Linked DNA regions of Anolis sagrei. The protein of the gene in region 1 binds, or shares a complex with, the protein of each later gene. Links are inferred from orthologs where the notes say so. Each region holds a gene or a part of one and is shown in the gene's direction. Other genes may lie near its edges. The genes, in order: APOO, CHCHD6, CHCHD3 and MICOS13.

Region 1 (6,827 bases):
TGTTATTACTGTTTTCCCACTCATGTACTGGTTGCCTTGGTTTCCTGGAGTGAAAAATATCTTGAACACAATAAAAGGGGGGAAAACAATCCCAGCAAATCTGAAGGGAGGAAAAACACCAAGAGGTAAGATGATAGAACAGCTTATTTTTCATATTCAACCATTTTCATTTCATTTGCATTTAAAGGATGTATTTTGCAACTGTCTTAAATATTCCATTGAAGTCTAAAGTAAAAAAGACAGCCAAAATAATTACATCTTAAAATCCAAATGCAGTGTAATGTTACCTGAATCGGACTTTATACTGAATACTGGGTTCTTTAAGAAGTTCAGCCTCTAAAGGGCTCACTCTCTTCAAAATCTCATGGCTAATGCAGTGTTCCTGAAATAAATAGTTTTTGCTCAATTAATATGTAATAAGTTTTGTTTTTATTATAATTGTTATTGTCGTATTACTAGGAAATCCAAATGCTGAGTTTTTATAGCTTTATAGCAAAATGAAGCTACTGAGATGCAGGAGAGAGGTATCAGTATGTTCAGGTTTAAAATTGCAAAACATGGAAATAATAGTCAGGGAGGAAATAATAATATTGATCTACTACCTAGAACAGGTTTTAAGATAAGCAAACCCTGCCATCTACAGATAGTTCCAACCCACTGCTACTCTCTTGAGGGTTGGAGGTTTCACTTTTGTCAGGAAAGGAAGAATATGAAAATCACAAACCCTTGCGGATGTTGGGCCGAGGAATTATGAAATAATAGCAACAGGTAGTGGAATGCTTTTTAGCTGCTTTCATTTGCACAGTATCTGTGCCCAAGTCATTCCTGCAATACGCACATTCAGGGTAGCTTAGTAAAATACATACTATTTTTTTGGTGTCAGGAGCGACTTGAGAAACTGCAAGTCGCTTCTGGTGTGAGAGAATTGTCCGTATGCATGAACGTTGCCCAGGGTATGCCCGGCTGTTTTGATGTTTTACCATCCTTATGGGAGGCTTCTCTCATATCCCCACATGGGGAGCTGGAGGTGACAGAGGGAGCTCATCCGTGCTCTCTCCGAATTCGAACCTCCGACCTGTTGGTCTTTAGACCTGCTGGCACAAGGGTTTAACCCATTGTGCCACCGGGGGCTCCTAATACACTGGGGGCTCCTACATACTATGTGGGAGTGCCTTTGAAGATGGCTTGGAAACTTCAGTTGGTGCAAACTACATCAAATCCTTTATTACTACACTAGCACCACCACTAAGAGGTTACACAATCAGACTAGGGGATACAAGTTTGGAGTTTGCACGAACTATGATATAATATTGGTATTGTGTTTTTCAGCTTGTGCTTCTCTGCCTTCCGCATAAATTCATATTTCTGGCAGTAATATGTGTTTCTGGCAGAACAGTTCTATTGCTCCTCAAAAAATTCAGGATGCAGTAGCTCTTTGGCAAACTCTTCTCTTGATCTCTGGGTTATTATTTTCTGATGCCAAAGAACAGCTACAGAATGAGCTGTCTCATGCACAGTCCCAAGTTCCAGCTACAAATTTTAGTATTCATGCATATATCATCAGACATTGAAAGCAAAAAAAACCCCAAAACACAATCTTCTATTTAGTGTAGGAGGCATTCCTGTTTCCAATCCCCAGCCTAATTTTCATGCTCAGTGCATCTGCAAAACAGGAGGCCGACTTTGAAAACAGGGAGAGGGATAAAAAGTCAGATCTAGTCAGACATCACCAAGTATAAGAACCTACTGCTGCACGAATGGTGTGTTTCAGAAGTTTAAACAGTCTTTTCCTTATGTGAGTCCACCAGAATTTCTGAATAAGATTAACTGCTTGCTCTTCTGCAATCCTGTTGAGAGGAAAGCAATGCATACATTAGATAGGTGTTGTGCTATTTGAAAAAACACATACATAACAATTACTTGAACAAAAACATTTATGTCCACAGAGATTTGTAGACTGTACTCTAGTCACAACAGAATCAGCAGTCTATTCATAAGCTTAGTGCATCTATCTTACAGAGCCCTGCTGCCTAAGACTGGATCTACTAGGCTTGTGTGCAGGTCCATTTTGGCCGGTTTCCTTCTGCCAATCCGGCTTCTTCGGCTTGGTTGGATAGCTGTAACAGAACCACATGGCAGCCGATCACAGCTCCTCCTCCTCTTTTCGGGAGCACACGGTGCGCAAAGTGGCTGCCACTGCGTGCTCCTCACACAGAGTTTTCCTGTGAGCCCTGCCTGTTGGACCAATCAGAATAGAAGAACACCATGATGTGTCTTATACAAGCTGTGTCTACTTCTTTAGTCTCGTTGCTGAAACCCAGACCCCCTTGAAGGAAAGAAAGGGTCCCAGGAATGGAAAGGAGAGCCTCATAAGTTCCCCATTGCCTCCAATGGGCTGGATCTAGCCATATTTTTCGGGTGCGGACCTAAAAAGGCTATCTGGCTACCAGCCCGTTTTCAGGAGGTGTGCAAAAATGGGTATGGGGGTCTACCGGAATCCAGCCAGCAGAAACGATTTGAGGTTCAGCTGAAATGCACAAGCCTAGGATCCATACGATTTGGAACGGCATTATATGGTCAATGTAGACACACATTAAGCAATTACATATGTCTACATTGACCATATAATGCAGTTCCAAACGACATTATATGGCAGGGTAGAACCAGCCCTAATAGCATGGCTGTGAGCTGATTATCTCTATTCCAATAGATATGTGGACTGTCGTTAAGCAAAGATGGCAGATTGAAAGTCAAAGCCCTAGTCAAAGTAGACTGATTCTGACACTTGGGACCTGTTTGATATAATTTTAAAAACTTCCCTTCTATAAACAGGAAGGATATGGAAAGGTGCTTCAAAGATATCATTGTTCCGCTTGTACATATGTTTAGAAGTAGTAGCAAATATCCCATCAACTGTACAATTATTTGAAGGCACTTTGGAACTCCATTGCCACTGCTATGAGGGTGACAAAATGGCAACTACAAGAGTTAATAACAGGCAGCAGTGAACTGGGTTTTGCTGGATGCTGAATGGATACACACAACATGCAAGTGTGGAGAGGAGCAAACCACAGACCACCTACTACAATGCAACCTGAGCCCTGCCACATGCACAATGGAGGACCTTTTCACAGCGACACCAGAGACACTCCAAGTGGCCAGCTTCTGGTCAAAGGACATTTAGTATAATGCAAAGTTTTTTAACTTTGTTTGTGTTTCTAAATGAATTTTAACTGTATCCTCAATTCACTTCTGATACGATAAATAAATGGATGTTGTGGATGGCCTCCTGCTACTTACAGTGGCATAGAGACTCTCCAGGGTAGATGATCCAGAGAGATGCCCCCTTGAAACTGCAGGGCAGATTTCTGTGATCTTATCCTTCTATTTCTTTATTGAAAGGTAGCTCACCTATGGATTTTTTTTCACCTGCATTTATACTGCTACATAAGACGTGGAGACCATCCTTAAGGTAAAGATTTCCCCTTGAGTCATGCCCGACTCCCACCATTCCTCACAGCCTCAGGCCCAAAACACCTGGAGGGCCCAAGTTGGCCCAGGCCTAATATAGATCCATCTGGGGTCCCTTCCTCTTCCTCTGCCATCCACATGGAGAAGTCAAGGGCCAGGTTTACCTCCGCCTCCGATTGCTTTCGTCTTCTTCGTCTTCTTCGTCAGGAAGCACGATCCGAACATTGCTGAACATGCCTTCGCGCCGCCGCCGCCTTGGCCTGTACCAGCGTCTTCCCCTGGTTGCCTAGACAACAGGACGCGCCACTGGGCCGGAAATGATGCCACTTCCGCCTGCGCTCTCCCCGCGGCATGTTTCGAAGGGCGCCCGTGTGGCGCCAAACATGGGCCTTCCGGGTACCCGTACGCGGCGCTTGGTGAATGACGTCATCGTCGCTGCGCCGTCATTCACCAACGGTGCTGTCATTCACTCGCGGGGATATGTTCAAGGTGAGAAAGTTTTCCCCGACGTTGTTTTGAGGGAGAGAGCGGGAACATGCATGGGATGGCTTGCTTCCCCGCGGGGAGGTTCTGGCCTTCTTCGAAAAGAGGTCGCGGCGATGTTTGGCTCTTTTTTGTAGCGTTGTCATGGAAACAGCTTAGGAAAAAGCGTGCGAGGGAGCTCCCAGTGTCTTGGAAGCGCAGAAATAGCTCATTTGGCGCGAGGAAGAAACACTTCTAAGCCCAGAGTTGAGGAACCCTTATCAGAAGTGTTTTGGATTTCGCAATATCTTTGTGTGTATGTATATGTGTGTGTGTTTTGGAAAATAGCATTCATAACCTTTTGGAAAACACCTTTTGAATGATCCTAACCTTTTAGAAAAGCACGACCTTTCAAAGACCCTTTAGAGTAGAACCTTCTCTTGTGGTATACAACCAGATATAATTACTCAAGGTAATGGTTTCAGTTGTTAGACTGAATAACCTGTTGTCTCAGATCTGTTAGGAAATCAGAGATTTGCCAGTGCATACAAAACAGCAATACTTCAGAAGTGTTTTTCATTGCCCAAAAATATATACTCTCCCATAAATGAAATTAGATCTGCCCCCTCCCTCCTGACCTTTAGGAAGCTAGTGAAAACCTGGCTTTTGCAGAATGTTGTTTGAGACCGGCAATCGACTAATGGTACTGATCACAATATATGGAATGGACATACTGATTGAGTTGGATACGATTTTATCTTGGCGAACAGCTTCTATGTAATGTTATGTAATCTTTGTAATTTTTACATGTAATTGGTAACTTAATGTTGTGTATTATGTCTAGATTTTCAGTGTTAGCATTGAATCTTTGCTGTTAGCCGGTCTGAGTCCCTCTGCAGAGGTAGAGAAGATCGGGATATAAAAGTTTTAAATAAATAAATGAATAAAACAACTTGTTTTATGTCATGCACTCGAGAGACAAAAATGAAGTACTGGGTTGTTGTAGGTTTTTCCAGCTGTATGGTCATATTCTAACGTTTTGCCTTCATCATTAAATCATGTGAAGTCTGTTGGAAACTAGGAAAATACAACCCAAAAAACCTACAACAACCCAGTAATTCCAGCCATGAAAGCTTTCAACAATACTAAAATGATGTGGACCAGGGTCCCTAAAACTAATGTCCAGGTGCCGGATGTGGCCCTCCAAGGTCATTTACTGTCCCTCGCTCAGGATCAACCTAAGTCTGAAATGACTTGAAAGCACACAATAACAACAACAATCCTATCTCATTTGCCAAAAGTAGGCCCACGCTTGTCATTGAAATACCAATAAATTTATATTTGTTAAAATTGTTCTTCATTTTAATTATTGTGTTGTTTTAAAGTGTCTTATGCAGTACAAATAAGATATGTGCAGTGTGTATAGGAATTCATTCATGTTTTTTTCAAATTATAATCTGGCCCTCCAGCAGTTTGAGGGACTGTGACCTGGCTCTCTGTTTAAAAAGCTTGAGGACTCCTGATGTGGACTTTGATTTAAAAACATATTTGGTTTACTTACAACCTTCATGTGTTCAGCATACACAGGTACAAAACTTACCAGTCTAGTTTCAGATGTGTCCCCGGCTATGGAACTCCCTCCTGGTGAGATCAGGTTGGCCCCCTCTCTCCTGTCCTTTAGAAGAATGGTAAAACCTTGGCTGTGGGACCAAGCTTTTGGGTCAGGGCAATAAAGCGGCAATAGGAAAGATGATCAGGCCAATGATTTGACACGGATGACTAGGACGGTTATAAATGGTGTATTTTAATATTTTGATAAATATTTTTAAATATTTATTTATTGTATGTCTATCTGTGTCCCGGCATTGAATGTTTGCCGTGTATATGCTGTGCTCTGACCTAAATCCCCTTCGGGGTGAGAAGGGCGGAATAGAAATGTTTTACATAAATAAATAAATAAATAAATAAATAAATAAATAGATAGATAGATAGATAGATAGATAGATAGATATTATATATAGGTATAGGTATAGATTACATATCTTGGAGATGGGGCCCAAGTCTAAACTCAAAAGTCATTCGTCTCATCATACTGTCATATAAATCATACTCTATTACAAGTTATAGCTCATGATATGAATCTTATATACATTTCTTTTAAAATTTTGTGTATGAAACAACATGTGTGTACATTGAGCCATCAGCAATCAGAGGTGCCACCCATGTGAAGAATCTAGGAGCATTTAGGATTTCTAAACATTTGTTAGGATGAATCAGAATGTCTTGTGCATTCAGACACACATCCACATGTATATAATCATTTACACACACACACACATAGTGCAATTACTGTACATACTTTATAAATAGAAGAATAGCAAAGCAGTTCTCTGCTCGCAGGCTTACAATCTTATTCAGACATGATGCAAAAAGAAAAGGGGATGGCAGTCTAGGAGGGGATAGAGGCCAGTGAAGTGGCCTTTGGGATGAAGGATTGGGCCTTACCTCTTTCTACCGCTCATGTCTTCCCACCCACTAATTCTTTCTCTTTATATAGGAGCTGGGTTTCTGAGTAAGGGGTGTTCAACCAATAACACCTTTGTTAAGGCTATATCTGAATGTCATATGGTGACTGTATATATGCACACAGATGAATATGTCCAAACAGACACACAGACAGACTCATATAATACTGACCAACACTCATTTTGCTGCCTCAAATGTTATCCGTCTTTCTGGGTATATTTGACCTGCAACTTCAAAAAACGACACCAGTTTCCTCTTACCAGTTCTGGTTTCTGAGATACAGAACATATGCCATCAACCAATTGCCATCTGCTTGCCCATAGAAAACCATAAGAACCATATTTACGAAACTAGAACTGATGTAGTCT
Region 2 (7,000 bases), on another chromosome or scaffold:
TCCTGGTAGAGACTTTCGTTTATGTGCATCCGTTTATTTAGTGGTAGAAGCTTTGCAGTAATTAAATGATTATATATTGTGAGAAAGCAAGGAACTGCTTCAATTCTTCCTATCTACTAGATTTTAGAATGCTGAAGGGAAATTATGGAGAACTGCAATGGCAGAATAGTAGAATTGTAGAGTTGGGACGACCCGCAAAGTTTAGTGTGAAATCTTGAATTTTACTCACAAAGAACCCCTATTTTGTGCACTTTTACAGCATGTGTTTGTTCTAGAGTTGTTAGGCCAAGACTATCCCAAGTTCTGAGACTTCAGGGTCTAAACTTGAGTCCTAGGGCTGATCCCTTGGTGATGTGATTAAACTTAAGCATCAGATACAGTGTACAGCATTCAAATTCTAACAAAATTTAAACATTGAAAAACTGTGCACACACACACTCTTTGAAGGCAACCTTCTCACCCTAAGATTCATCACCCTTACCCTGAAAACTAGAGGATGGTCTAGGCCAGGCGTTCCCAAACTAAGGCCACAGACTGGACGCAGCCCTCCAAGGTAATTTACTGGCTCCCACCCTAAACGACTTGAAGACACACAACAACAATTCTAATTAACTTTGAGTCCTCTTGGACAACAAGTTAAACATGAGCCTACAATGTGATGCAGCAGCAGCAGCAGCCAAAAAAAAAAAAAAAAAAGCCAATGGGATTTTGGCCTGCATCAATAGGAGTATAGTGTCTAGATCCAGGGAAGTCATGCTACCCCTCTATTCTGCCTTGGTCAGGCCACACCTGGAATACTGTGTCCAATTCTGGGCACTGCAGTTTAAAGGAGATGTTGACAAGCTGAAATGTGTCCATAGGAGGGAAACTAAAATGATCAAGGGTCTGGAGAACAACCCCTATGAGGAGCGGCTTAAAGAGCTGGGCATGTGTAGTCTGCAGAAGAGAAGGCTGAGAGGGCCATGTATAAATATGTCAGGGGAAGTCATAGGGAGGAGGGAGCAAGCTCGTTTCCTGCTGCCCTTGCAAGTAGGACACGGAACAATGGCTTCAAACTATAGGAAAGGAGATTCCACCTGAACATTAGGAAGAACTTCTTGATTGTGAGAGTTGTTCATCACTGGAACTCTCTGCCCCAGAGTGTGATGAGGGCTCCTTTTTTGGAGGCTTTTAAGCAGAAGCTGGATGGCCATCTGTCGGGAGTGCTTTGATTAGACCACACCTCGAATGTTGTGTCCAATTATGGGCAACACAATTGAAGAGAGATATTGACAAGCTAGAACGTGTCCAGAGGAGGGCGACTAAAATGATCAAGGGTCTGAAGAACAATCCCTATGAGGAGCGGCTTAAAGAGCTAGGCATGTTTAGCCTGAAGAAGAGAAGGCTAAGAGGAGACATGATACCCATGTATAAATACGTGAGAGGAAGTCACAGGAAGGAGGGAGCAAATTTGTTTTCTGCTGCCCTAGAGACTAGAACACGGAACAATGGCTTCAAACTACAATAAAGGAGATTCCATCTGAACATGAGGAAAGTGTGAGAGTCATTCAGCAGTGGAACTCTCTGCCCCGGAGTGTGATGGAGGCTCCTTCTTTGGAAGCTTTTAAACAGAGGCTGGATGGCCATCTATCGGGGGTGGTTAGAATGCGACTTTCCTACTTTTTGGCAGGGGGTTGGACTGGATAGCCCACAAGGTCTCATCCAACTCTATGATTCTATGAGGTGTTTTTGAGTTGGGGAAAGGAAACCTTAAGCCCCCCTTGAGCTAAGAGAACTGTTTCACAATTCATTGGCCTGAGTTTTCAGGCAACTCACTCCTTGCTTTGCTTCTGTGTTTATACAGTGGACATTCAGAAAATAATTTCACTATATTATTTCACGGGATTGTGGCGCAGCTGGCTGAGTGTCAGCTGCATTAAGATCACTCTGACCAAAAGGTCATGAGTTCGAAGCCAGCCCGGGCTGGAGTGGGTGTCCAGCCATTGTGTAGCCCGTTGTCGACCTTTGCAACCCGAAAGACAGTTGCATCTGTCAAGTAGGAAAATAAGGGACCACCTTGTGTGGGAGGCTAAATTTAACTAATTTATGAGGCCATAAAGAAAGAAGACTCCGGGGAATGCGGAATGCGGAAGAACTTCATCGGTGTCGTTGATGGACGATGAAAAGCAGCAGCTCCCCTGGCGGCCAGAAAAAAGTTAAATAGCCTTGGTGTATTTGTGTGTTAAATGTTGTTTGTCAAACTGGCATTGAATGTTTGCCATATATGTGTTGACTGTAATCCGCCCTGAGTCCCCTGCGGGGTGAGAAGGGCGGAATATAAGAACTGTAAATAAATAAATAATAAATATATCCCCATGGCCTCCAAGCACACATAATTCTGTACTACAAAAGGCATGTGAAATATGTTTCAAGGTAATAAAAAGGATATGAGTGGGATCCATATTTTCTTATATATGGCAAAAAATCTATTAACATCAAAAGATCTATTCGAAATTTGACTAGTTCTGAGCCAAGCCCTCTGTTGCTTGTAAATCTATATGCTTGTTTGTTTTTCTGGCAATCAGCTTGACAAGCTTGTTTTGGCTTAGAAATGTATGATCTTTGTTAAAATGGGAGACATGATTTACCTTTGTAATTTAAACATGGGTTTTCTCTTGTTGATTTAATCCAATTCTACCTGAGAGAAATAGATAGCCCCTTTCAGTAGTCTAAATTCAAATAATTGTGTTTTATTACATTTACATGTTTTACAAACAGAGGCGGGTTTCCTTACTGTGGTTACTATGGCAATGCAGAGCAAAACCCCTTTATAGATTTTGTTTTAAAATCCTTCCTAAGCCTACAATTAGCTTTTTCAAGTTTTTAAACAGATAACAACTGTTCTATTATGTTGCATGGGAGGTGGCAAGCCTTCATTACAGCATAATTGCAAAATATTTGCAGCTTGCAAGCACTTTGCATTCTGAGAGTTGACTTTTTATTAATTATATTGGTAGATACAATTATACATGGTTCTTTCCCTCTATTGCTGTCAGGAAAAAAAAGGATATTTGACAGGAAGCATATTATTCATGGAGCCCCCGTAGCACAGTGGGTTAAACCACTGAGTTGCTAAACTTGTTGACCAAATGGTCGCAGGTTAGAATGATCTGCGACTAAAATGATCAAGGGTCTGGAGAACAAGCCCTTTGAGGAGCGGCTTAAAGAGCTGGGCATGTTTAGAATGAAGAAGAGACGGCTGAGAGGAGATATGATAGCCATGTATAAGTATGTGAGAGGAAGTCATAGGGAGGAGGGAGCAAGCTTGTTTTCTGCTGCCCTGGAGACGAGGACGCTGGAGAAAGGAGATTCCATGAAAGGAGACTAGGACTTGGTGCAATGGCTTCAAACTACAAGAAAGGAGATTCCATCTGAACATGAGGAAGAACTTCCTGACTGTGAGAGCTGTTCATCAGTGGAACTCTCTGCCCCTGAGTGTGGTGGAGGCTCCTTCTTTGGAGGCTTTTAAACAGAGGCTGGATGGCCTTCTGTCGGGGGTGCTTTGAATGCGATTTTCCTGCTTCTTGGCGGGGGTTGGACTGGATGGCCCATGAGGTCTCTTCCAACTCTAGGATTCTATGATTCTAAACAAATGCCATGTCCCAACGAGGATGTATTGCTTTCCTTTCTCACGCTAAAATGTATGAAAACCGACCATTATGAAGCGACTCCAATGGGGAGAGTTTGTTGAGAGTCTCAAACTATCTGGCCAGCCTCAGCTTTGCGGCAAATGGATATGTAAACCGTATGATGCTTAAAAGAGGCGCAGCGGGCTGCCCAGAGCCATTGCCGCGCCACCGCTTCTGCGCGCCCTTCCGGGCAAATGTGGTCCTTCTTGGAGCATCCTTGACAGCGGCGGAGGGGTGAGAAAGACTACATCTCCCAGCGTGCCTCGCGGCCGGCTTCCAACACCGCGCCGCGCGATTGGGCGCTTCTTTAGCGGTGGCCAATCGGGGGAGGCTTTGTAGGCCGGTGGAGAAGAGCGTGGTGTCTTTGAGTTTGTGTGGACGGACTGGGCTTTTCTCCTCTTCTGCCTCTGCGGTGCCGGCGTGATGGGCGGCAGCGGGAGCAGCCAGGGCAGGAGGAAGGTCTCCTTCGAGCTGGACGAGGAGGACCGCGTGCGGGTCTTGCAGGGCATCCGGGTGAGTGAGGGAGGGAGAGGGCTTCCTTGCCTGCCTGCTGACCTGACGCCTTACCTGGGCCAACTTGGGCCCTCCAGGTGTTTAGGACTTCAACTCCCACCATTCCTCACAGCCTCAGGCCCTTTCCTTTCCCCCCTCAGCCGCTTAAGCTGAGGGGGGAAAGGAAAGGGCCCGAGGCTGTGAGGAATGGTGGGAGTTGAAGTCCCAAACACCTGGAGGGCCCAAGTTGGGCCAAGCTTCTCTACACTGTAGAATTAATGCAGTTCTGCACCACTTTAACTCCCAAGGTTCAATGCTGTGGAGCCCTGGGAGATGTAGTTTGGCAGGGTCTTTAGCCTCCCTTGCCAAAGCGTCCTGGTGCCTCGCCACACTTACTCACTCACTTAGACAATCCCTCATACCTTGAGGATGATGGTCCTCCAGATGTGGTGTCTTGGTTGTTGGGTCTGTAGGTGGCTGTGGAGCCCTATTCTTGATTCGCATCTTCTCCCGCAGTTTCGCCCTCCGTTCGTGCCGCTTCGAATTCCGCAGCACTGCTGGTCACAGCTGACCTCCAGTTAGAGCGCTCCAGGGCTTTCCAATTCTCGGTGTCTATGCCCCAGTTTTTAAGGTTGGCTTTAAGCCCTTCTTTACATTTCTTTCTCACCACTACAACTCCAGTGGTTCCATGCCATTGAGCCAAGGCAATTAAAGCGTCTAATCCAGGCATGACCACCTGCTGCAATGCACCCTGAGCCCTGCTACATGCACAATGGAGGACCTCCTTGCAGCAACACCAGAGGCACTCCAAGTCGCCAGATACTGGTCAAAGGACATTTAATCAACTATCAAGCTTGCAAACTTTGTGTTTTCTCTGTTTGTTTGTTTTGTTAAAAAATGTAATACAAATGTCTGGTTGCTCCTGATACGATAAATAAAATGGACAAATTTGGGCCCTCCAGGTGTTTTGGGCTTCAACTCCTGCAATTCCTGTTGAAAATGTCAACCTTCTTTAATCTTCCACTAGTAATTTGTTTTGTATATGATTTATTTATTTAGTACATTTCTATACTGCCCCTCTCTCAGCCTTCCGGTGACTCGAGGCGGTTTACAAAGCAAGAGTTCAATGCCTCCAAGGACACGATTACAATATACAATATAAAAACATTATATCAAACATTATAATAAAACATAATTCAATCGATAATCCTTAAAACAATGTCCAGTTCCGCCATATAGTTATTCCATTATTTTCAAATGCCAGCTCAAAAAGCCATGTCTTAAGATGCTTTCGGAATGATAGGAGCGAAAAAGCCGATCTAATCTTCCTAGGAAGGGCGTTCCATAGCCGTTCCATCCTGTGATAATGCGGCATGTCTCATTAACAAATGTGGATCAAGAATAGGGCTCCACAGCCACCTACGGACCCACCACCAAGACATCACATCTGGAGGACCATCATTCTCGACGTACGTGGGATCGCCTAAGTAAGTAAGTGTGGTGAGGTACCAGGACTCTTTGGCAAGAGAGGCTAAAAACCCTGCCAAACTACATCTCCCAGGGCTCCACAGCATTGAGCTTTGGGAGTTAAAGTGGTGCTGAACTGCATTAATTCTACCTGGGCCAATTTGGGCCTTCAAGGTGTTTTGGACTTCAGCTCCCATCATTCCTCACAGCCTCAGGCCCCTTCCTTTTGCTTACTGTATTGTGTGCGCGCGCATGTATATGTGTGTGTTTTGGTATGCAGCTTTCCCTTTACTCTATGTTCCTTGAAGTTGTGGGTGGGGCTGCAGGCCACATGATTGGATCAGGGACTACCCTAAGGTCAGATTCCATTTTAGAACATAGAGAGGCCATGAAACTTTGAACTGTTAAGAGCAAACTAATGTTGCTTTTGATTCTAAGAAAGATGCCCTGTGTTATCAGCACAGAGAAACCAATTCAAAACCTATCTGTATGTAACTGGATTACAATTGGATTACGTACCAGTATGTAACTGGTACAAGTTAATGTACCAGTATGCTGAATATATGAAGATTATAAGTAAACCAAATATGTTACTTTTGACAAAGTCTACTTTATTTTTGTCTCTTGAGAGCATGATATAGAAACAAGATGTTTCGTGGGAGAATAGATATTCTTGGGCACTGAAAAGAATACTTTTGAAGAACTGCTGTATTTTGTGCTTTGGCATATCTGTTTCAAACAGATCAGAGATAACCAGGTTATCAGTCCACTTGCATATGTACATGTGGTCATATACCATTGAAGAGAAGATTTTACTTAAATGAGGTTTGGGCTCTTTGGAAGATCATACTTTTACAAAAGGTTATGATTTTCAAATGGTTGTGATTACCATTTTTCTTCAAAAGGCTATGGAGATGCTGGTTTTCCAAAAGGTTATGATATCCAAAATATCATGCCTTTCCAAAAACCCCTAAGAGCCATAGGAATTGTGGGAGTTGGAGTCCAAAACTCCTGGAGGGCTAATACAACATCCTGCCACTCATACACACACTGCTTTAAACTGCCATAGCTCCATCCTACAGGATTTTAGGATTTGTTATTGTTTTGAGAATGGTCACCTAGAGAGTTCTAGTGCTACACAAAACTGCAAATCCTGGGATGCCATACAATGCAACTAGGCAGTAATTTGGGATTGTGTGGTTTAGGGATTACTTTGGCTGCAGGACACCTGCCTGTAGTGCTTGGATCCTCGTGTTTGATCAGAAGAATCCCTCAGCCCTCGTTTTCCTCAGTATTGTGTAGCATCTTCCTTCTGTGATCTACTTAACAATAAGGACTTAGGGCCTTCCGAATATGACAATTAGGACAATATA
Region 3 (7,216 bases), on another chromosome or scaffold:
GAATTTGCCAAAGCTTATAGATAGATAGTTATAGATAGGTAGTTCATAGATAATATATATTTGCCCTATAGATAGAGAGTTCATAGATAACACGTTTCATAGAATAGTTATATTTCCCATAGAATAGATAGTATTTGCCAAAGCTTATAGATAGATAGTTATAGATAGTTCATAGATAATATATATTTGCCCTATAGATAGACAGTTCATAGATAACACGTTTCATAGAATAGTTATATTTGCCATAGAATAGATAGTATTTGCCAAAGCTTATAGATAGATAGTTATAGATAGGTAGTTCATAGATAATATATATTTGCCCTATAGATAGAGAGTTCATAGATAACACGTTTCATAGAATAGTTATATTGGCATAGAATAGATAGAATTTGCCAAAGCTTATAGATAGATAGTTATAGATAGGTAGTTCATAGATAATATATATTTGCCCTATAGATAGAGAGTTCATAGATAACACGTTTCATAGAATAGTTATATTGGCATAGAATAGATAGAATTTGCCAAAGCTTATAGATAGATAGTTATAGATAGGTAGTTCATAGATAATATATATTTGCCCTATAGATAGAGAGTTCATAGATAACACGTTTCATAGAATAGTTATATTTCCCATAGAATAGATAGTATTTGCCAAAGCTTATAGATAGATAGTTATAGATAGATAGTTCATAGATAATATATATTTGCCCTATAGATAGACAGTTCATAGATAACACGTTTCATAGAATAGTTATATTTGCCATAGAATAGATAGTATTTGCCAAAGCTTATAGATAGATAGTTATAGATAGGTAGTTCATAGATAATATATATTTGCCCTATAGATAGAGAGTTCATAGATAACACGTTTCATAGAATAGTTATATTTCCCATAGAATAGATAGAATTTGCCAAAGCTTATAGATAGATAGTTATAGATAGTTCATAGATAATATATATTTGCCCTATAGATAGAGAGTTCATAGATAACACGTTTCATAGAATAGTTATATTTCCCATAGAATAGATAGAATTTGCCAAAGCTTATAGATAGATAGTTATAGATAGTTCATAGATAATATATATTTGCCCTATAGATAGAGAGTTCATAGATAACACGTTTCATAGAATAGTTATATTTGCCATAGAATAGATAGTATTTGCCAAAGCTTATAGATAGATAGTTATAGATAGGTAGTTCATAGATAATATATATTTGCCCTATAGATAGAGAGTTCATAGATAACACGTTTCATAGAATAGTTATATTTGCCATAGAATAGATAGAATTTGCCAAACATTATAGATAGATAGTAATAGATAGGTAGTTCATAGATAATATATATTTGCCCTATAGATAGAGAGTTCATAGATAACACGTTTCATAGAATAGTTATATTGGCATAGAATAGATAGTATTTGCCAAAGCTTATAGATAGATAGTTATAGATAGGTAGTTCATAGATAATATATATTTGCCCTATAGATAGAGAGTTCATAGATAACACGTTTCATAGAATAGTTATATTTGCCATAGAATAGATAGAATTTGCCAAAGCTTATAGATAGATAGTTATAGATAGGTAGTTCATAGATAATATATATTTGCCCTATAGATAGAGAGTTCATAGATAACACGTTTCATAGAATAGTTATATTTGCCATAGAATAGATAGTATTTGCCAAAGCTTATAGATAGATAGTTATAGATAGATAGATCATAGATAATATATATTTGCCCTATAGATAGAGAGTTCATAGATAACACATTTCATAGAATAGTTATATTTGCCATAGAATAGATAGTATTTGCCAAAGCTTATAGATAGATAGTTATAGATAGATAGATCATAGATAATATATATTTGCCTTAGAGTATTTGTAATAAAGAATAGATAATATTTGCCAAAGTTTATAGATTTTAGAGTAGTTATATTTACCTCATAGAATAGTTATAGTCATACATTCCCCATAGCTTATAGTTATAGAAATTATAGTAGTTGTTACATCAGAGTTTATATTTCACTAATCAAACTGTACTTTTATACCTTGATTATTTAGTAAACAATTGTTGAACTTAATCTTGTTTGTAGAGTTTTATTTTGGGGGAATTATAGTAATTTAGGGCATACCGATGGTCACTGGGAAAATAGCCAGACACATTTAGTTTCTCCTTAGATCTTCCTGGTGTGCCATCATAATCATGAATAATAATAATAATATATCATCATGTAAAATAGTATATTGTTATTAATAATAATATGTCATTATTAGTAATAATAATATGTTATTATTATATTGTTGATTTTTTTTGTCGTGTCAGGAGCGACTTGAGAAACTGCAAGTCGCTTCTGGTGTGAGAGAATTGGCCGTCTGTAAGGATGTTGCCCAGGGGATGATTTGATGTTGTTAATAATAATATTATATTATTGATAACATTATTAATAATACACTAATAATAATAAAAATAATAATTATTAATAATATATCATTTTTATTATTAATATAGTATTATTAATATATTGTTGTAGCCCGGAGTGGAAATAATCTATCGGACAGATGGCAAGCTATTCAACCTCAGCAGACTGAAAGCCAAAACCAAGGTTACAACAACAGCTGTTATAGAACTCCAGTATGCTGACGACAATGTCGTCTGTGCGCATTCAGAAGATCTACAAGCCACTCTAAACACCTTCGCAGAAGCATATGAGAAGCTCGGCCTGTCACTGAACATTGAGAAAACCAAGGTGCTGTTCCAGCAGTCACCAGCCCATCCCTCTCCAATGCCAGTAATACAGCTTAATAGCGTAAAATTAGAAAATGTGGACCATTTCCGCTACCTTGGCAGCCACCTCTCCACCAAAGTCAACATCGACGCTGAAATACAACACCGCCTGAGCTCTGCAAGTGCAGCATTTTCCAGAATGAAGCAGAGAGTGTTTGAGGACCGGGACATCCGTAGGGAGACCAAGGTGCTTGTTTATAAAGCTATTGTCCTCCCAACCCTGCTCTATGCCTGTGAGACGTGGACTGTCTACAGACGTCACATGCAGCTCCTGGAACGTTTCCACCAGCGCTGCCTCCGGAAAATCCTGCAAATCTCCTGGGAAGACAAGCGGACAAACGTCAGTGTGCTGGAAGAAGCAAAGACCACCAGCACTGAAGCGATGGTCCTCCAACATCAACTCCGCTGGGCCGGCCACGTTGTCCGGATGCCTGACCACCGTCTCCCAAAGCAGTTGCTCTACTCTGAACTCAAGAACGGAAAATGGAATGTTGGTGGACAGGAAAAGAGATTTAAAGATGGCCTCAAAGCCAACCTTAAAAACTCTGGCATAGACACTGAGAACTGGGAAGCCCTGGCCCTTGAGCGCTCCAGCTGGAGGACAGCTGTGACCAGCAGTGCTGCAGAATTTGAGGAGGCACGAGTGGAGGGTGAAAGAGAGAAACGTGCCAGGAGGAAAGCGCGTCAAGCCAACCCCGACCAGGACCGCCTTCCACCTGGAAACCAATGCCCCCACTGCGGAAGAAGATGTAGAGCAAGAATAGGGCTCCACAGCCACATACGGACCCACAAGGAAATCCATAATGGAAGACCATCTTACTTGTCCAACGAGGGATCGCCTAAGTAAGTAAGTAAGTAAAGTAAGCCCGAAAAACCTCAGCCCTATTGTTATATTATCATTGGTATTATTATTATTAATATATATATATATATATATATATATATATGGTATTATTATTAATAATTAATTATTATTATTACCAATGATAATATAACAATAGGCCTGTTTTGCACCAATTGGGCCAAGGATATACAATTCTGGGATTTATAGTTCCTTGTGGCAGAGAAGGATTAGATATTTCACAATTCCCAAAAGTCTCAAAACTTTGTAATAATGTGCAATGACACTTCAAGTAAGGCTAAATGCTTCATTATGGCCCCAGAATGCTAACACTGCTCTATTAACTACATTTCCCAGCGTGCATTGCGACAAGCGGCGGGCATTTGTAACCAATTCTTGCCGCGTTGCACGCTGGGAGAGGCAGTTCCCATGCTCTTTGAGAGAGAAGAGGGAAAGAGAAAAAGTTTCCACGCCGCCTGTCACTTGGTCAGGCCGGGGCAGGGCCCGTTGCTCAGGGCAACCGTTCTCCCCACCAATCGGAGAGCGGCGGAGGCGGGACGTAAGAGGGGGATGGCCAATGGGCGACGGGTGTGGGCGTGGCGTCTTATAGGGCACCTCCAGGGAGGCTTTTGCGGCCTAGTCTGGTGGTGAGCGAGCCTGGAGCGGGATGGGCGGCGGAGGCAGCGCCCCAAGGAGGGTCACCTTCGAGGCGGACGAGAACGAGAACATCACGGTGGTCAAGGGCGTCCGGGTGAGAGGGAAGACGGGTTGGCTGGACTTAAGCTGAGTGAGCTAGGCCTCAGAGGAGGAAGAGGAGAGGAAAAAGAGTAGGCCCCTGTTGACCTCAGAGGGGTCAAGCATGGAGAACAGGCAGGGTCCAACTTGGGCCTTCCCTCCAGGTGTTTTGGACTTTAACTCCCACAGTTCCTAACAACCTATGCTGAAAGAGTACTTTGGCTGCAGTGTGAGGCCAAGATTTTCGTTTAGAGAGGTCTGTGTATCTTCTGATTGAGCACACACCACATTATCATCAGCATATTGGAGTTCTATAACAGATGTTGTTGTGACCTTGGTTTTGGTTTTTGGGCAGCTGAGGTTAAAGAGCTTGCCACCTGTCCAATAAGCGCATTGCAGAAGTCCAACCTTGAGGTTACCACTATCTTTGGGTCTTCCAAATCTAGGAAGGGACGCAGCTATCGCGTATCAGCCATTGCATCTGCCTGGCCTGATATTTGGAGGGATATCCAGGAGTGCTCCCAAACTTCAAACAGTCGAAATATGTCAGGGAAAGTCATAAGGCGGAGGGAGCAAGCTTGTTTTCTGCTGCCCTGTAGAATCATAGAATCATAGAATCAAGGAGTTGAAAGAAACCTCATGGGCCATCCAGTCCAACCCCATTCTGCCAAGAAGCAGGAACATTGCATTCAAATCACCCCTGACAGATGGCCATCCAGCCCCTGTTTAAAAGCTTCCAAAGAAGGAGCCTCCACCATCCTCCGGGGCAGAGAGTTCCACTGCTGAACGGCTCTCACAGTCAGGAAGTTCTTCCTCATGTTCAGATGGAATCTCCTCTCTTGTAGTTTGAAGCTATTGTTCCACTGCGTCCTAGTCTCCAGGGAAGCAGAAAACAAGCTTGCTCCCTCCTCCCTGTGGCTTCTTCTCACATATTTATACATGGCTATCATATCTCCTCTCAGCCTTCTCTTCTTCAGGCTAAACATGCCCAGCTCCTTAAGCCGCTCCTCATAGGGCTTGTTCTCCAGACCCTTGATCATTTTAGTCGCCCTCCTCTGGACACATTTTTTGCATTAAAACAAACAAACAAACAAAACACAAAATTTGCAGACTTGGTATACTATTAAATGTCTTTTGACCAATTGCTGGCCACTTGGGGTGCCTCTGGTGTTGCTGCAAGAAGGTCCTCCATTGTGCATGTCGCAGGGCTCAGGTCGCATTGCAGCAGGTGGTCAGTGGTTTGCTCTTCTCCACACTCGCATGTCGTGGACTCCACTTTCTGGCCCCATTTCTTATGGTTGGCTCTGCATCTCGCCATGCCAGAGCGCACTCTGTTCAGCGCCTTCCAAGTCGCCCACTCTTCTGTGTGGCCAGAAGGGAGTCTCTCATTTGATATCGGCCATGGTTTGAGGTTCCAGGTTTTAGCCTGCCACTTTTGGACTTGCTTGCTGAGGTTTTCCTGCGAATATCTCTGTAGATCAGTGGTTGTCAACCTGGGGGTCGGGACCCCAGAGGGGGTCGCAAGAGGGTGTCAGAGGGGTCGCCAAAGACCATCAGAAAACACAGTATTTTCTGTTGGTCATGGGGGTTCTGCATGGGAAGTTTGGGCCAATTCTATCATTGGTGGGGTTCAGAATGCTCTTTGACTGTAGGCGAACTATAAATCCCAGCAACTACAACTCCCAACTGTCAATGTCTATTTTCCCCAAATGCCACCAGTGTTCACATTTGGGCATATTGAGTATCCTTGCCAAGTTTGGTCCAGTTCCATCATTGTTTGAGTCCCCAGTGCTCTCTGGATGCAAGTGAACTACAACTCCAAAACTCAAGGTCAATGCCCATCAAACCTTTCCAGTATTTTCTGTTGATCATGAGAGTTCTGTGTGCCAAGTTTGGTTCAAGTTTGGTGGAATTCAGAATGCTCTTTGATTGTAGGTGAACTAGGAATGAAAGTAACTGCAACTCCCAAATGACATAATCAATCCCTTGCCGAATCCCAGTAGTATTCAAATTTGGGTATTTTGGGTATTTGTGCCAAATTTGGTCCAGTGAATGAAAATACATCTTGCATTTTGGATATTTACATTACAGTTCATAACATTAGCAAAATTACAGTTATGAAGCAGCAATGAAAGTAATGTTATGGTTGGGGGTTGCCACAACATGAGGAAGTGTATTAAGGGGTCGCGGCATTAGGAAGGTTGAGAAACACTGCTGTAGATCTTAGAAAACTATTTCTTGATTTAGGGCATTGGTGTGCTGGCTGGTATCTCAACAGGGAGTGGGCCAAAGATGTCACTGCCTTGGTCCTTTAACTATTTGTTTCTACTCCCCGGGGGATGTCAGGTGGTGCAATACCGGCTAAACAGTGTAATTTCTCCAGTGGTGTAGGGCGCAGACACCCCGTGATAATGCGGCATGTCTCATTAAGAGCCACATCCACTGTTTTAGCGTGGTGTTACCATGATTTTCAGGTCCTCCAAATCTTGGAAGGTACACAGCTAGTGTATCATCCATCACATCTGTCTGCTTGTAGAGATGGATCCAGGAGTATTCCCAGACTACAAACATAGTCTTTCAGAGGGAGTGAAACCCTATCCAGAACTGGTTGATGATGTTGTTGTTCATTCGTTCAGTCGTCTCCGACTCTTCGTGACCTCATGGACCAGCCCACGCCAGAGCTCCCTGTCGGCCATCACCACCCCCAGCTCCTTCAAGGTCAGTCCAGTCACTTCAAGGATGCCATCCATCCATCTTGCCCTTGGGCGTTCCCCTTTCCTTTTGCCTTCCACTTTCCCCAGCATAATTGTCTTCTCTAGGCTTTGCTGTCTCCTCATGATGTGGCCAAAGTACTT
Region 4 (7,327 bases), on another chromosome or scaffold:
GCCAAAGAAGCCCTCCAGGGCAAACTTGGTGGCCGAGTAAGGAGCCACGAAGGGGGTGGACACTCTTCCTGAGAGGGAAAAAATACTAAATACTGCATCAAAGTGGAGGAGGTTATTCTTTGTGCTTTGCTTAGAAGAATAACCTAGTGAAGCGATTAAGGAAGGATGAGAGAAGGGGACAGGAGAGCCATGTCTCCATCTTTGAAGGAAGGAAGGAAGGAAGGAAGGAAGGAAGGAAGGAAGTCCCATGGAGGAGGACGGGACAAGCCTTGTTTCCTTGCATTGGCTAATTGGTGGCCGGTCTCTGGGAGCAGTAGTTTCCCAAGGGCACTCACTCACCTGTCAGGGAAGAGACCACCACTAGTGAACCCTTGCTCTCTGCCAAGGGAGGGAGAGCCACCGAGGCGAGGGCCACATAGCTGAAGAAGTTCACCTGGAAGGGAGAGGAATATTAATATTAATAATAATATTAGTAATAATAATAATTGTAATAATAATTCTGTTGGGTGGATTTGGATTGTGCCTTCCAGAAGGGGGATGGACTGGATGGCCTTTGGAGGGCCCTCCCAAATCCCAGCCGCACCTGCATGAGCCAACGCAGATGGTCCATGTCTCCAGCCCACATCTCAAAAGGGCTCGATCCGTCATGGTTGAGGACCACAAAATCCAGGCCCCCTAAAAAAAGAAGGATGGGAAAGAAAAGCAGATTTGTCATTGGCAGAAAGCGATGAAAAAACAGGTCCAACTTGTTATCCCAATTCATCCATACAGTGTGAACCTAAGGGTTAGTTAGAATCGCGTAGAAGTACTGCACTTTGACATCACTTGGGAGTTGTAGTTTTGGGGTTTGAGGACCCACCGAGTTCCTCCAAGGCAAAATGGACCAGCTTTTCTGGCTCTGCGGAAGAAGCCATATCTGCGACGAAGTAGACGGCCTTCTTGGCTCCCAGCTCCAGGCATTTGGCCATCACCTGGACAAAAGCAAAAGGAACAACCACCATTTATGGACTTCTTCAACCGGGAGAAATCCAGCCATGTGCGATAGGGATGGTTCCTAGTACAATTGGTTCGCTGTACCATCCATGGCTTGAAAGTATTTCTGAAAAACCCCAAAATTCAACCTTAGTTTTGCCATTTTATGCGTATTGTTCACCACTGCATATAATGGGAGTTGAGCATCCATGGATTTGGGGATCCACGAGGGTCCTAATACCCAATGCAAACAGATATTGGTATCCATGGGGGTCCTGGAATTGGATCCAATCAGGTATTGGTATCCATAGGGGCCCTAGGACCTAACCCAACCAGAGACTGGTATTTATGGGGGTCCTGGAATCAGACCCAATCAGGTATTGGTATCCATAGGAACCCTAGAACACAACCCAACCAGATATTGGTATTCCTGGGAACCCTAGAACCCAATCCAACCGGATATCAATAGCCACAGGGACCTAGAACCCAACTCAAATAGACTTTGGTATCTATTGGAGCTCTAGAACCCAACCCAACTGTCACACAGCAGGGCTGGAAAGGCGCCTTTAAACCAATCTCACACCCCAGAGCTCAGTTATAAGCAAAGCAGTTTCTTAAGGTATAAATGTAGCTTCAGCAAAAATGATAAGAAGTCAATACAAAATATAATCCATGTAACACAAGGCACTTAGGAAGACTTGGAAGCAATAATCCACGAGACCAGAATGTAAGCAAGATCTTTAAACTGGACTCTTGAAAGAACACAGCAACCGAGAAGATCAAAAGTACATGGCAGCTATACCCAAGATCCAAAAATACATGAATCCATGAAACCACTTGATTCTTGAAGCAATACAGGAAACCAGGAAAACACTTGATTCTTAGAACATGAGTCCATGAACCCCATCCATGAGAGGAACGAGAGAGAGGAACTTAGAGCATGTTAATTCTATCCAAACGTTGATTCCTCTAAAGGCCTTAGAACTAAGCCAACCAGACATAGGTATCCACTGGGTTCCTAGAACCCAACACGAACATTAATATCTAAGGCGGTCCTAGGACCAAACCTAACTAAACATAGGTATTCTTGGGAGTCCTCAAACCAGACGCAATCCGGTACTGGAATCCATGGGGGCCTTAGAACCAGATATTGGTATGCATGGAGGCTCTAGAACTCAACCCAAGCTCTATCTTTCCCCAATCCCAGACTTTGAATCTGGATGTGTTCTCACTTTCTGCAGCATGGCCTCCCTCCGGGCGGTGAGGACAATTTGTGCCCCGAACCGGGCGTAATGGTAGGCCATTTGTTCCCCGATCCCATCGCTGGCGCCAGTCAAGAGAACCCGGGCCCCGGAAAGGCTGTCTGGGAGAGAAAAAGAAATACGGCCAAAGGGGAAAGTAGAGTACCGTATACACTTGAGTATAAGCCAAGATTTTCAGCCCTTTTTTAGCCTGAAAATGCCCCCCATCGGCTTATACTCAAGTGGTCCTGGTGGGAAGTCATGGGATTGAAATATGCCCTTGTTTCAGCCCCACGACTTCCCGCCAAGATCCTCACCTCTTCACCCAGCAGGGTTGATACTTGTTTATATACGGTATTTTGCCTGCCAACAAGTGTCGGCCTTCATTGAGTCTTAGAGTTGGCAGGGAAACCCATGGGCTGTGCCAGGCAGGCGGGGTACACAATCCGAACCCTCCCAACAGATGGCCACCCGTTCCTCTGCAGCTCCTACCTGGCTCGAAGGTGTCTCTCCAGGAGAAGGCCACCCAAACAGCTGCGATGCCAAGGACCGAGAGCAGAAGCCCAGCGGCCCTCATCTCCCTTCTCTCCAAGTGTCACCACAAATAGATATTCAAGCCTGAAAATGATGGCAAGGGTCAGAAACGGATCAGGGGATACAAAGGGCGGGTGCCTCCCACGCCCTGCAGGCCAACGGGTGTGTTTTGAGGAGAGAGAGAGTCGCTGAACTGGGACTCAGCTCCATGGAAGACTGCCAAAAGGAGCCCCTTCCGCACTGATTGTATAATGTAGCTTGGAACTGCGTTACATGGATTGCGTAGACTCATAGAATGCAGTCTAACTGTATGATAGGAGTCAACATTGACCATACAATGCATTGAGCTGCATTATAGGACTTTACACTGACAATAGAATATACTGAACTACATTATAGGAATCTACACTGGCCATATAATGCATTGAACTGCATTACTGGACTCTACGCTGATAGTAGAATGCACTGAACTACATTATAAGAATCTACTCTCATGCAGTCTAACTATGCATTATAGGGTCTACACTTACCATATAATGTATTGAACTATGTAACAGGAGACTACACTCACCACAGAATATACTGAACTGCATTATAGGACTCTACACTGACCATAGAATGTATTGAACTGTACTATAGGACTTTACATTGAACATAGAATGCATTAAGCCAGTGCTTCTCAACCTGTGGGTCCCCAGGTGTTTTGGCCTACAACTCCCAGAAATCCCAGCCAGTTTGCTAGCTGTTAGGATTTCTGGGAGTTGAAGGCCCAAACATCTGGGGACCCACAGGTTGAGAACCACTGCTTAAGCTATATTTTGGGACTCTACGCTGACCATAGAATGCATTGAGCTGCAATATAGGGTCTACACTTTGCACAGAATGCACTGAACTGTACAAGAGAGAGTACACCCACTATATAATGCATCGAACTGCATGATAGGCGTCTATATTGCATTATTTGGCAGTGTAGATTCGCCCTCAAGGCCTCAGGAAACACTTAACAGAAAACCCAAAACGCAGAAACCTGTCTATATAAGATCAACATGAACGAGTTAATCATAACGCCATATTTCTACTTTATGGTATAAAGAATTTTAAATACTTTAAAATTCAATAGCTGCACCGAAATTCTGGATTCTCCTCCTTGTTTACAAAAAGTTTAACAGAAGACTGAAAACGATGTTATCCCAGGAAGACTGGCACGACCTTAAACGTGGCACGACCTTAAGGAAGTAGGGAACAGAGTGGACAGAGTGGGGGAAAACATGATTCCGCTCGCGCATGCGCACGGCAACCTCCCTGCTCATGCGCACAACGGGCCCATTGGTTACCGTTAGAACAAGAAACATAATAAAAAGCCTTCATGTTTTGAGGGAATGTTGCCTCGCCCTACACTCATTCAGTTTCATTCAATTCACATTAAGTTCAATTTCCTATAGTTGGTGAAAAAGAAAGAAAAAGCCCCCGCCCTCCCTCTCAGGAACAATGGCGGCCTCCATTTCTCTCAACCGCGGCAGTTCCCGAAAAGTCTCGCGAGAGTAGGTCAGCCAATGGGCTTTTGCTGCAGGGGGGAAAAACCGGTGCGGGCGGGCGCTTTGCTGCCCTTGGGCCGGCGAAGGCGTTGCTGTCATGGCGTCTCGCTTCGTCCCTGTGATCAAGTGAGTCGGGAGGGCGGTTTTCTAGATTCATAATCAGGAAAGAAGGGCTCAATGCAATGGGATCTTGGCATCAGTAGTCTGGCAGGCCTTGCAAAACTACAGCACCCAAGCTTTAATGGCAAGAGGGTTGCACTAGATGGCCCTTCCAACTGTAATGCTCTGCGTTTGAAATATTGCAATCCCAAATCTCTTTGAAATAGTGGAATCCAATTCTCTTTTGGGAAACTGTTACCATTATTGCAATCTAAGGCCTCTTCTGTACTGCCATACAATCCAGATTATCAAATCCGATAATCCACATCATCTACTTTGAACTGGATTATATGAGTCTACACTGCCTGATAATCCGGTTCAAAGCAGGTAATCTGGATTTTGTATGGCAGTGTAGAAAGGGCCGAAGTCTTTGCTTTGAACTGTTTTGAAGGTTGTATTCCAAGTATCTTATTTTAGAATGCTAATAATATAATATAACATATTGTACATACATATTATATTGTATTGTCCAAGGCTTTCATGGCTGGAATCACTAGGTTCTTGTAGGTTTTTTCGGGCTATAGGGCCATGTTCTAGAGGCATTTCTCCTGACGTTTCGCCTGCATCTATGGCAAGCATCTTCAGAGGTAGTGAGGTCTGTTGGAATTAGGACAATGGGTTTATATATCTGTGGAATGGCTGGGGTGGGGCAAAGAGCTCTCTGCTGAAGCTAGGTGTGAATGTTTCAGCTGACCACCTTCATTAGCATTTGAAGGCCTGGCTGAGCCTGGGAAAATGTTCTGTTGAGAGGTATTAAGATGTGCCTGGTTGTTTCCTCTCTGCTGTTTTGCTGTTGCAATTTTGGAGTTTTTTTAATACTGGTAGCCAGATTTTGTTCATTTTCATGGTCTCCTCCTTTTTGTTGAAATTGTCCACATGCTTGTGGATTTCAATGGCTTCTCAGTGTAGTCTGACATGGTGGTTGAATCTGAAAATGAACAAAATCTGGCTACCAGTATTAAAAACTCTTTAAAAACTCATTTAAAACAGCTGGAATGTGTCCAGAGGAGGGCGACTAAAATGATCAAGGGTCTGGAGAGCAAGCCCTATGAGAAGCGGCTTAAAGAGCTGGGCATGGTTAGCCTGAAGAAGAGAAGGCTGAGAGGAGACATGATAGCCATGTATAAATATGTGAGAGGAAGTCATAGGGAGCAAGCTTGTTTTCTGCTTCCTTGGAGACTAGGACGCGGAACAATGGCTTCAAACTACAAGAAAGGAGATTCCATCTGAACATGAGAAAGAACTTCCTGACTGTGAAAGCTGTTCAGCAGTGGAACTCTCTGCCTTGGAGTGTAGTAGAGGCTCCTTCTTTGGAAGCTTTTAAACAGAGGCTGGATGGCCATCTCTCAGGGGTGCTTTGAATACAATATTCCTTCTTCTTGGCAGGGGGCTGGACTGGACTGGATGGCCCACGAGGTCTTTTCCAACTCTATGATTTTATGACATAAACACAGACTGGGCCACAGCAACCCATGGCAGGGGACAGCTAGTATTATAATATAATGTAATACAATATAGTACTAATGATAAAACAGTAGAATAATTGTATATTATATATTATATGTAATATTACTAATAATATTGCAGGGGCAGAAGTCTCTTTGTTTTGAACTGTTTTGAAGGTTGTATTCCAAGTATCGTATTTTGGAATGCTCATGAGATATGTATATATATCTATATAAATAAAAATGTAATGTTCGTTCATAATCCAAATTATCTATTTAATAATAATATTTTTTCTATACTATACCTTTGGGCCTTTCCAGACAGGCCCTTTATCCCATGATCTGATCCCAGGTTTTTGGTTTATATGAGTCTGCACTGCCAGCTAATCTCGGATAAACAGAAAACCTGGGATCAGATTCTGGGATACAGTTTTTAACTGTAGGCACTTAGGACTCTTCCGCACAGCCATATAACCTAGGATATCAAGTCAGAAAATCCCACAATATCTGCTTTGAACTGGGTTGTCTGAGCCCAGTTCTATATATTCCAGTTCAAAGCAGATAATATGGGATTTTATTTAGCTGTGTGGAAGGGACCTCAGTTAACTCTCAAGCAACAGGCAACAATGGAAAATAATATTTTAAAGAAAACATTAAAATACATGTAGAATGTTTTTGTCTTAGTTAATGTGTTATTACTAATTCATGTATACTGCATTTCAATAGGAATATCAAGTCAATACTATACAGAGTTTATCAATTGCATATTTATTTATTTACTACAATTGATCCCCCACCCTTCTCAAACCGAAGGGGACTCTGGGCGGCCTTACAACAGGTAGCAATTCAATGCCATACACATAAACAAAGACAATTAAAATCCAAGCAGTTTAAAATATGAATTAAAATCACACCATCCAAATCATAATCCAAGGCCGTTCCATTTATCTGTCACATTAATTCGTGGTCACTTATGCACTGCTCCCATTGCTGGTCAAAGGTTTGGTTCCAAAGCCATGTGTAAGTTTTTTTCATTAAGGTCAGGAGGGAGGGGGCTGACCTGATTCTATTGGGGAGTTCCATAGCCGAGGGGCCACCACTGAGCAGGCCCTGTCTCTCATCCCCACCAGTTGCGCCTGAGATGGAGGTGGGACCGAGAGCAGGGCCTCCCTGGAACATTTTAGCCTCTGTGATGGTTCATAGAGGGAGATAAATGTGGATAGGTAAGCTGGGCCAGAACTGTTAGGGCTTTATAGGCCAAAGCCAGCACTTTGAATTGTGCTCGGTAGCGAACTGGCAGCTAGTGGAGCTGACGCAGCAGCGGGGTTGTATGCTCCCTGTACCCTGCTCTGGTGAGAAATCTGGCTGCCACCCGTTGGACCACTTGAACCTTCCAAACAGTCTTCAAAGGCAACCCCACATAGAGCATGTCGCAGTAGTC

The links.
Region 2: APOO (region 1) and CHCHD6 share a complex: the UniProt entries of both Homo sapiens proteins name them as parts of the mitochondrial contact site and cristae organizing system (MICOS) complex. The link is inferred for Anolis sagrei from reciprocal best matches to the Homo sapiens genes APOO and CHCHD6.
Region 3: APOO (region 1) and CHCHD3 share a complex: the UniProt entries of both Homo sapiens proteins name them as parts of the mitochondrial contact site and cristae organizing system (MICOS) complex. The link is inferred for Anolis sagrei from reciprocal best matches to the Homo sapiens genes APOO and CHCHD3.
Region 4: APOO (region 1) and MICOS13 share a complex: the UniProt entries of both Homo sapiens proteins name them as parts of the mitochondrial contact site and cristae organizing system (MICOS) complex. The link is inferred for Anolis sagrei from reciprocal best matches to the Homo sapiens genes APOO and MICOS13.

The regions. Positions count from the first base shown.
Region 1 is NC_090023.1:86,752,094-86,758,920, forward strand, and holds the start of APOO (MICOS complex subunit MIC26), read left to right. Parts: upstream 1-3,820; 5' UTR 3,821-3,891; coding exon 3,892-3,960; intron 3,961-6,827. Other genes in the region: C3HXorf58 (uncharacterized protein CXorf58 homolog), read right to left, coding at 1-100, 288-382, 1,748-1,847, 3,636-3,706. UniProt on the Homo sapiens protein: Component of the MICOS complex, a large protein complex of the mitochondrial inner membrane that plays crucial roles in the maintenance of crista junctions, inner membrane architecture, and formation of contact sites to the outer membrane.
Region 2 is NC_090022.1:54,978,340-54,985,339, reverse strand, and holds the start of CHCHD6 (MICOS complex subunit MIC25), read left to right. Parts: upstream 1-3,992; 5' UTR 3,993-4,091; coding exon 4,092-4,181; intron 4,182-7,000. UniProt on the Homo sapiens protein: Component of the MICOS complex, a large protein complex of the mitochondrial inner membrane that plays crucial roles in the maintenance of crista junctions, inner membrane architecture, and formation of contact sites to the outer membrane.
Region 3 is NC_090025.1:192,696,873-192,704,088, reverse strand, and holds the start of CHCHD3 (MICOS complex subunit MIC19), read left to right. Parts: upstream 1-4,214; 5' UTR 4,215-4,293; coding exon 4,294-4,377; intron 4,378-7,216. UniProt on the Homo sapiens protein: Component of the MICOS complex, a large protein complex of the mitochondrial inner membrane that plays crucial roles in the maintenance of crista junctions, inner membrane architecture, and formation of contact sites to the outer membrane.
Region 4 is NC_090034.1:54,660,537-54,667,863, forward strand, and holds the start of MICOS13 (MICOS complex subunit MIC13), read left to right. Parts: upstream 1-4,303; 5' UTR 4,304-4,379; coding exon 4,380-4,408; intron 4,409-7,327. Other genes in the region: hydroxysteroid 11-beta-dehydrogenase 1-like protein, read right to left, coding at 1-68, 340-433, 584-675, 860-971, 2,205-2,335, 2,706-2,790. UniProt on the Homo sapiens protein: Component of the MICOS complex, a large protein complex of the mitochondrial inner membrane that plays crucial roles in the maintenance of crista junctions, inner membrane architecture, and formation of contact sites to the outer membrane.